2 linked regions of the Drosophila melanogaster genome follow. The protein of the gene in region 1 interacts with the protein of each later gene in a pairwise test. Each region holds a gene or a part of one and is shown on either strand. Other genes may lie near its edges.

Evidence for each region.
Region 2: the proteins of Acam (region 1) and CG14840 interact in a two-hybrid assay, tested with the Drosophila melanogaster proteins (2 studies listed by BioGRID).

Annotation. Positions count from the first base shown.
Region 1 is NT_033777.3:25,809,666-25,813,668, reverse strand, and holds Acam (androcam), read right to left. Parts: upstream 1,759-4,003; 5' UTR 1,681-1,758; coding exon of another isoform or gene 1,186-1,680; 5' UTR 1,026-1,185; coding exon 579-1,025; 3' UTR 535-578; downstream 1-534. Other genes in the region: CG17770 (uncharacterized protein), read right to left, coding at 1,186-1,680; CG5024 (uncharacterized protein), read right to left, coding at 1,967-2,464. UniProt on the Drosophila melanogaster protein: May be involved in calcium-mediated signal transduction.
Region 2 is NT_033777.3:14,259,708-14,263,272, reverse strand, and holds CG14840 (uncharacterized protein), read left to right. Parts: upstream 1-2,059; 5' UTR 2,060-2,089; coding exon 2,090-2,992; 3' UTR 2,993-3,065; downstream 3,066-3,565. Other genes in the region: CG14839 (uncharacterized protein), read right to left, coding at 1-812; CG14841 (uncharacterized protein), read left to right, coding at 857-973, 1,046-1,753; MetRS-m (Methionyl-tRNA synthetase, mitochondrial), read left to right, coding at 3,366-3,459, 3,526-3,565.

The sequences.
Region 1 (4,003 bases):
AAATTGAAAATTCATACATGCGCGTACACAACACACACGAAATATTTATAAAGTCAGACACAAGCCCCAAAGACCCCAAGAGGTTGCTTCCAGCAAGGAGTACGAGCCGGGCCCGCTGAGGCCACAGTAAAATTTAATTTTAATGCATAAGCAAATTGAATTTAAGCAACAGGAAAATTGTTCGTCTGGCCACAAAGGTGCCGCATGTGGAAGCAAAAACCACTTGCCAGGGAAACGAAAAGGCGGACTAAAACCACGTCGAGTGTTTCATGCTGAAAGTTTTCACCTGAAGAAGGCGAGGCGAAAATTCCTTAAACCAACCACAATTACCGAAATGGGGTGCCTTCATCAAACATTTTTAAGAGCAGGACATGCTTGAAAAATTCTCGGTCTCCGAATTAGGCAAAGGAAAAACTAGCACACCGCAAAAATATAATTGAAATAATTGGGGGCGTATTAAAAAGTGTTCGAAAATAGTTAGACCGCAGAGAAGTGTAAATTGTATTTTTTGAAGAGAAATACACGATTTTTTTTATGCAGTGACCCCAAATATTTTTATTTCATTTAAAGTAGCTGTACTACTTCTGGCTTATCATCCATACGAATTCCTCGTAGTTGATCATGCCATCCCCATCAAAATCAGCCTCGCGAATCATCTCATCGATCTCCTCGTCGGTGACCTTTTCGCCCAGATTGATCATCACAAAGCGAAGCTCAGCTGGTGATATAAAGCCATCGCCATCACGATCAAAAATCTTGAATGCCTCACGCATTTCCTCCTCAGTGTCAGTTTCCCGCATTTGCTTGGCCATTATACCGCAGAACTCAGTGAAGTTCAGTTGGCCATTGTTGTTGTTCTCGGCCTCAGCTATCAAATCTTGCAACTCGGCCTCCGTTGGATTCTGGCCCAAGGTGCGCATCAATGTGCCCAGCTCACGGGTGGCGATCTTGCCGGTTCCCTCCTTGTCGAACTGGACAAAGGCATCCTTGAACTCGGCAATCTGCTCCTCCGTTAGTTCGGACATCTTGATAAATTTTCAAAGATTTTCGGTATTTATCGAGATATTTTTAAATGCTTGCAGAGCTATAGACTGTTGGAATTTACGAAAGGGAATGAGCCGAAACTGTTTTGATGATACTGATACTGACAGGTCGGGTTCCCAACCCCTAAAGCCTGCTTTTTCCTTATGTAGTGGACATCATTCTGACAAATCGCACATAGTCTATATTGCCTTCCAAATCAGAATTTGCATCACGGATGATCTCCTCCACCTCATCATCCGTCAATTGCTCCCCCATGTTCTGCATTATGTGACGAAATTCCGATTCAGATATTAAGCCGGTTCCTTCTTTGTCAAAGACTCTGAATGCAGCTATAATTTCATCCTCGGTAGACATGTTTGCGTACCTCTGAGACATGATGTGAAGGAAATCGCTGAGATATAACTCACCGGATCCATCAGCATCGATCTCGGCCTGAATTTCCTGCAATTCCATATCACTGGGATAGTGGGCCACAGACAGCATTAGTTGCCTGAGATTTGTTATAGGAATAACCTTAGTGTCTTGGTCGTCAAACAGGGAAAAGGCAATCTCCAAATCCTTGACCTGTTCTTCGGTCAGATTGTGGGTGCGAATGGTCCGTTCCTCTGGCGGCGGAGTAAGGAATTCGAAATCCATGGCCAAAGGAAGGGGTTGGGGGTGGGAAAATTTTGGGGTCACTGAACACTCACTACAAATTTTCGACAAACTTTAGTTCACAACTTCATATTTATAATTTAATAACAAGAAAAGCCTACTCTTGTTATCATTTTATCTATTGTATATTGGCTTTTTTTTTTTTTTAAAGAATAGTCCAAACTGGTGGTATCCGATATTTCAAGATCTTCGATTCCATTGGCCATGCTTTTGAAATTTATTGATTAGATCTACAATCGGTTATGTTTTTTATTTTTCAAAGAGAGTGTTACGTCTCCATCATCATGGTCACAAAGCGAACGTAGTCGATTTTCAGTTCCGTGTTGGCGTCGGCATCACGTATCATTTCCTCGATCTCGTCCTCTTCCATTTCATCGCCATATTCAGTCATTATCTGACGGAACTCATTCTCGTGTATAAAGCCAGATCCATCTTTGTCGAAGACTTTGAAAGCGAGGATAACTTCATCTTCGACGGTCAAATTCTCGTACCGTTTCGACATGATGTATAGGAAATCACTGAGATAAAGCTCGCCGGATCCATCCGTATCAATTTCGGTTATATAATCCTGTATCTCGTTTTCCGGCGGGTTGTGGGCCACGGCTCGCAGGCAATCTCTCAATAACTTGATCGGAATGACCTTGGCATTATCGTCGTCGAAGAGGGCGAAGGCCGCCTCACAATCCTTGAGCTGTTCATCATTCAGCGTGTGGGTATGAACTGTTCGTACCTCCGGAGGTGGACTACTGAAATCAAAGTCATCCATGGCAAATTGTAAGTATACCTTGGGCTAAAATTTGGATTTCCCGAAAAGATGAATTTTAAAATTTAGTTTTTCGAAAATAGTTGTGTTTAAATATTGTCTTTTCATTGACAGTTTTCCATTTAGACTGAAATTGTGGAAAATTCAAGGCATTGACAACAAAAGATTACTAGTTAGTTTTTTAAAATTTTTTTTTTGTTAGTTGCCCCACGCTCTTTTCTGACATGGTTCTTAAACTCATTTTCAGTAAGATAAATTTGTGAAATGGAAAAAACTACAACTGCTCCGTGATGCAGTAACACCGCAGTAAAATATAGCAGGATTTAACAATTAAATTTGCAACAATTTTCCGAATAATGTTTTCATAGCCTCTGGCTACCGCTTCGAGCAATGTGGCTGTTGAAAAGCATGGGTAATTACATTTTTAATTAAATGCGTCGCAGTTTGTTCTGTTTTTATATTATTTTTATTTTTGTTGGTGCATTTATACAACTGTTCAGTATTTTTTCTGCTCAGCCATTTGCTGCCATCGTTGGTCTCTTGGGTCATAAAATGTTTTTTGTGTTTGTATTTTTTTTTTTTTTATTGAGCATTACGGGCAAATAGGGAAATTATCCAATGCAAAATTTCGAGCAATTTGCATAATTTGGGAGCGGAGAAGGCGAGAACCAAACTGCACAAACCCATGTCCCTGGCCATCAACCTTTCTCACACGTGCTCCTCCCAGTGGAGCGAACAATGGGGGCTTCTTGGTAATGAGAAGCAAATCCTGGCCACGAAGGACACAAAGGATTTAGGATTGGGGCCAAAGTTGAGCCACACAACAAGGCACTGTCAAGCATTTCTCTGCATAGATTAGAGAGGACTTTTCGGGCCAGAGATGCGGGATTATATATTTGTATGGAAAACAATAGTTCCAAGTATTACTTAGCAGGTAATATATTAATTAGGGCTACTAACTAAATAAATAAAAGTTGTTTGCGTTAAAGGAGAGTAAAAACAATTTGCTTAAAATAATTGGCAGATTTGTAGATCTCCCAACTAATAAATTCTATTCTGATGACCACATGTGTATATGTTTATACGATTGTCTGGTAAATGCAGCTCAGAATATGTTTGTTGTTTGACTTTAATCAGGCATAAACAGGACGATATAGCAACAGCCGAGCCGCAATCGAAATGGCAACAGACCTTTGGGGGATTTGGATAATTTGCATTTCTGTAGTGGGACAGGACACACATGCAAAGGGTTTTCATGTGCAAATCCCTTTATGCCAGTTTTGGAACCACAACTTCATATAGTATTACGTATATTCGCTCGGGTAAGTAGTATTCGTATTATTTTGAATGGAGAATGCAGATGAATTTCTTGTATTCAGCTAGATCAGTTGGAAAATTAGATATTTGGAACAGTTGTACAAATAAAACTTACATTTATTTTACGTCTCTACTACGTTGTAATATTGAAACCCAACTCAATACAATGATTAATGGAGAAGTAATAGATGATTGACGCATGGATGCACGGAATACCAATCTGAT
Region 2 (3,565 bases), about 12 Mb from region 1:
CCCCTTCTGCCACGAGAACCGCCTTCACACTCCGATTGATCTATACGCTGTTTGGCCTCTTGCGCTGCTTTGGCGGCACTTAGTGCCGCCTTCTTGGTCTTATCGTAATCTAATCGAGCTTCGCTAAGTTGCCGCATTAGGACATTAACCCGCCGCTGGGCAGCCTCTAATAGTGCCGTCTTGTCGGCGAGCGATTGTTGCCACACTGTGTATACTTGATCTGAGGCATCCTTAATGTCCTTGGCCAACTTGAGGCTTATGGTCAGTGTCTTGAGCTCCTGCTGGACCAATTGGTGCGTCTTGGCGGCAAGCTGTGCATTCGACTCGGCGGTGATCAGCTCCTGGTTTTCCTCCTGCACCACCATTTCGGCCTCCCTGACCTCCGCTTCCAATTGCTCCAGCACCTGACTCTTTCCGAACAGCACTGCTTCGGCAGCTTTGGCCGCAGCGTTTGCCTTGTCTGCGTATTCACCTTTGATTTTATCAGCGGCCTCCTTAACGGCGTTTTTCATATCATCGTTTGCCTTTTTAGCCTCGTTGGCCGCCTGGACGGCGATTCCGGAGGATCGCTGTTTGGCATTAGTATGGTTTCGCGTCTTCTTTGCCGGCGAGTTGCTATCCTCCCCTGACATGTCGCACACGGTTCCATCACCAGGACCACCGCCACCGAGCCCACCAGCGAAACTCCTCATCAGGTCTGAGTCCTCCGTCTGCATTGGCTTTCGGCGGGTTCGATAATGATTGCCAGTAGCGGATGCCGGGAGCGAGGATAACACAATTATTAGCCACATGATCTGAGTGTCTATCCGCATTTTCCGTTGTCTCGAGCATTTTTCCGACTGTCAATCGGATGGAGATGCCATGCCTGTCAAATCCGGAAATCGAGATTATGCTCTATTGCCAGGCAATGTGCTTATTCCTGCTTAGCCTTGCTTGCGTTTCGCGGAGCCACATAATCATGATAAGCGACTCGGTGAGTCCTAACCCTCGAATCTGTGGGTAAAGTCCTAGTCTATAATTTGTTTTCTCATCGCCATTGAACAAGGATCCTGTTGTGGCTCGATTGTATGAGCCAGCAAGCGAAAAGAAGCAGACTGCAAGTGGAGGATCATCGGAAGGGTGTGAAACAAGTTCTGCTGTGCAAAATTCTTGTGGCCTTAGCCAAAAGAATGCCAAGAGCAAGGCTTCCAGCATTGCAATTAAGGCCGCCCAGGACGCCAAGGCGGCCAATGACGCCCAGATGGCCGCCGGAGAGGCAGCCTCACTCCAAGTGAAACAGGATCTGGCCGAGAAGGCGGTCCAAGCTGCTCGAGCCGCGGAGGCAGCTCTTGCTGGCAAGCAACAGATCATGGAGCAACTGGAGCTGGAGGAAAAGGAGGCGGTGGCCGTTGTGGACGAGGTTAAGAACTCACTCCACAGCACACAGGTGAACGCAGAATCTGCCATGTTAGCGTTTTCCGAAGCCAAGATTCAGCTGGACCAACTGAAAGTCCTTTTGGCTGAGGCCACCGCTCAAATGACCAACATTGAAACTTTCGCTAATGGTGCCCAATTGGAGATGGATGAGAAGGGGCAGCTGTTGGAGGCGGCCAATCGGAGAGTGGAGAGCATCTCCAGACAAGTGGTCGCTGCCAGGCAGGATTACGACAAGACCAAGAAGGCTGCCTATAAGGCGGCTTGTGCGGCAGTGGAGGCCAAGCAAAAGGCTCAAAGGATGCAAAGGGCGATTAGCTCTGCATCCTCTTCAAGCTAGAAACGATCAATATTAGCCATTATCACTTAAATTTTATACATATATATATATTTTTGTAAAGTTTATAATGCTACTTTTTTAAAAATAATATATTATATCAATATAATAAAAAATATACTGCGAGCATGTAATTAAATAGATGCATAATACTATTCATAGCTGCTGGATGTAGGATATACATATATGTTGTATCCATCTAAACAATGAAATTAATGAAAGGCAAATATCCGAGGTAGTTTTTCCGAATTGTTTTTGCTAAGAGAAGGTAATTTTTCAGTCAAACCAGGCTTTCCGAATGGAGTCAGCGTCGAGTGTTTCCAAATATTTGATCGGAATATGCCTGGCACGAAAGCGCTGCTCCTCGTCCTGCTACTGCTGCGTGCGTTCCCTCGACTGGAGAGCTACCACTACCGACCCGCCGAAACGAATGACAAGCAATGCCTGTCCGCATTGTACGGCGATGCCAGCATCGATGGAACTGGTGGGGCGGGCGGTTTGGGAGGCGGATCCGAAGGCTGTGGGGAACCTAATTCGAAGAAAGGGGTTGGCTGCAGCAGCGGAACCGGCGTCTTTGGTCGCGGAGATCCCAAGCAGAAGGCCTCCAACATTGCCCAAAAAGCCGCCCAGGAGGCCAAGGCAGCCAGCGATTCGCAGATGGCAGCTGCCGAGGCGGCTGCATCCCAGGTCAAAAACGAACTGGCCGCCAAGGCAGCTCAATCCGCTCGTGCGGCGGAGGCGGCACTGGCCGGAAAGCAGCAGATTGTTGAACAGCTGCAGCAGGAGATGACCGAGGCGGATGCGGTTGTCACTGAGGTGACCTCGTCCCTACAAAACACCCAAGCGAATGCCAATGCCGCCGCATCGGCTGCCCACGAGGCCCAATCGCAACTCAATCAGCTGAAGAACCTTGTGATAGCCGCCACGTCCAATCTGGCCAATATCGAGAACGTGGCCAGTGGAGCGCAGCAGGAGCTGGCCGAGAAGACGCAGCTCCTGGAGGCTGCCAAGCACCGGGTGGAGAATCTAACCCGCCAGATGACCGAGGCCAAGACGGACTTCGAGAAGACCAAGCAGGCGGCCTACAAAGCGGCCTGTGCTGCAGTGGAGGCCAAGCAGAAGGCACAGAGGTCTCGTCGAATGACCCACCGCCAGCAGGTGCGCTGGGGTCCGCGCAAGATGGCCGGAAAGTTTTCCGGCGCAGGCAGCCAAAATCTAGCACCGAATTCGGGGATCAACTGATCTTTTCTATATTTTGTTACGTTTCGATTTCGGTTTAATAAGTTTCCTATTAAAAGATAATGGTTTTATAACTAAAAATTAAAATGTTTCACGATAATTTTGTTAGTATTAAATAAATATATTTAAATAAGTTTAATTTGCATGGAAATATTTGATTTATTCTTTTGAATTTAATTTAAAATTTTAAGCCGTTAAATTTTGCGTCTACGCTGTTAAGTGTGCATCTATGTCAAATGAGACTGTTACGTGCACTGTTAGCCGAGTGATGGGCAGCACTGGTGGCACAGCTGTTCAATGTTATAAAATCAACCGGCAAATTGTTTAGACGTTTTTTTTTTTTACTTATTTGTATATTAAAATAGCTTTTAAAGTGATGCTTATTAGAAGAATTAAGTGCCTCAGATATTTGGGAACTCGCTACAACAGTTCGCACTATGTGACAACTCCAATTTTCTATGTAAATGCAGGTAAGCATTTTAGACCAAATCAGTCAATATTACGGATAATAAAAAGAAATAATTTTTAACAAATAGCTCCTCACATTGGACACCTGTACTCAGCGGTCATAGCCGA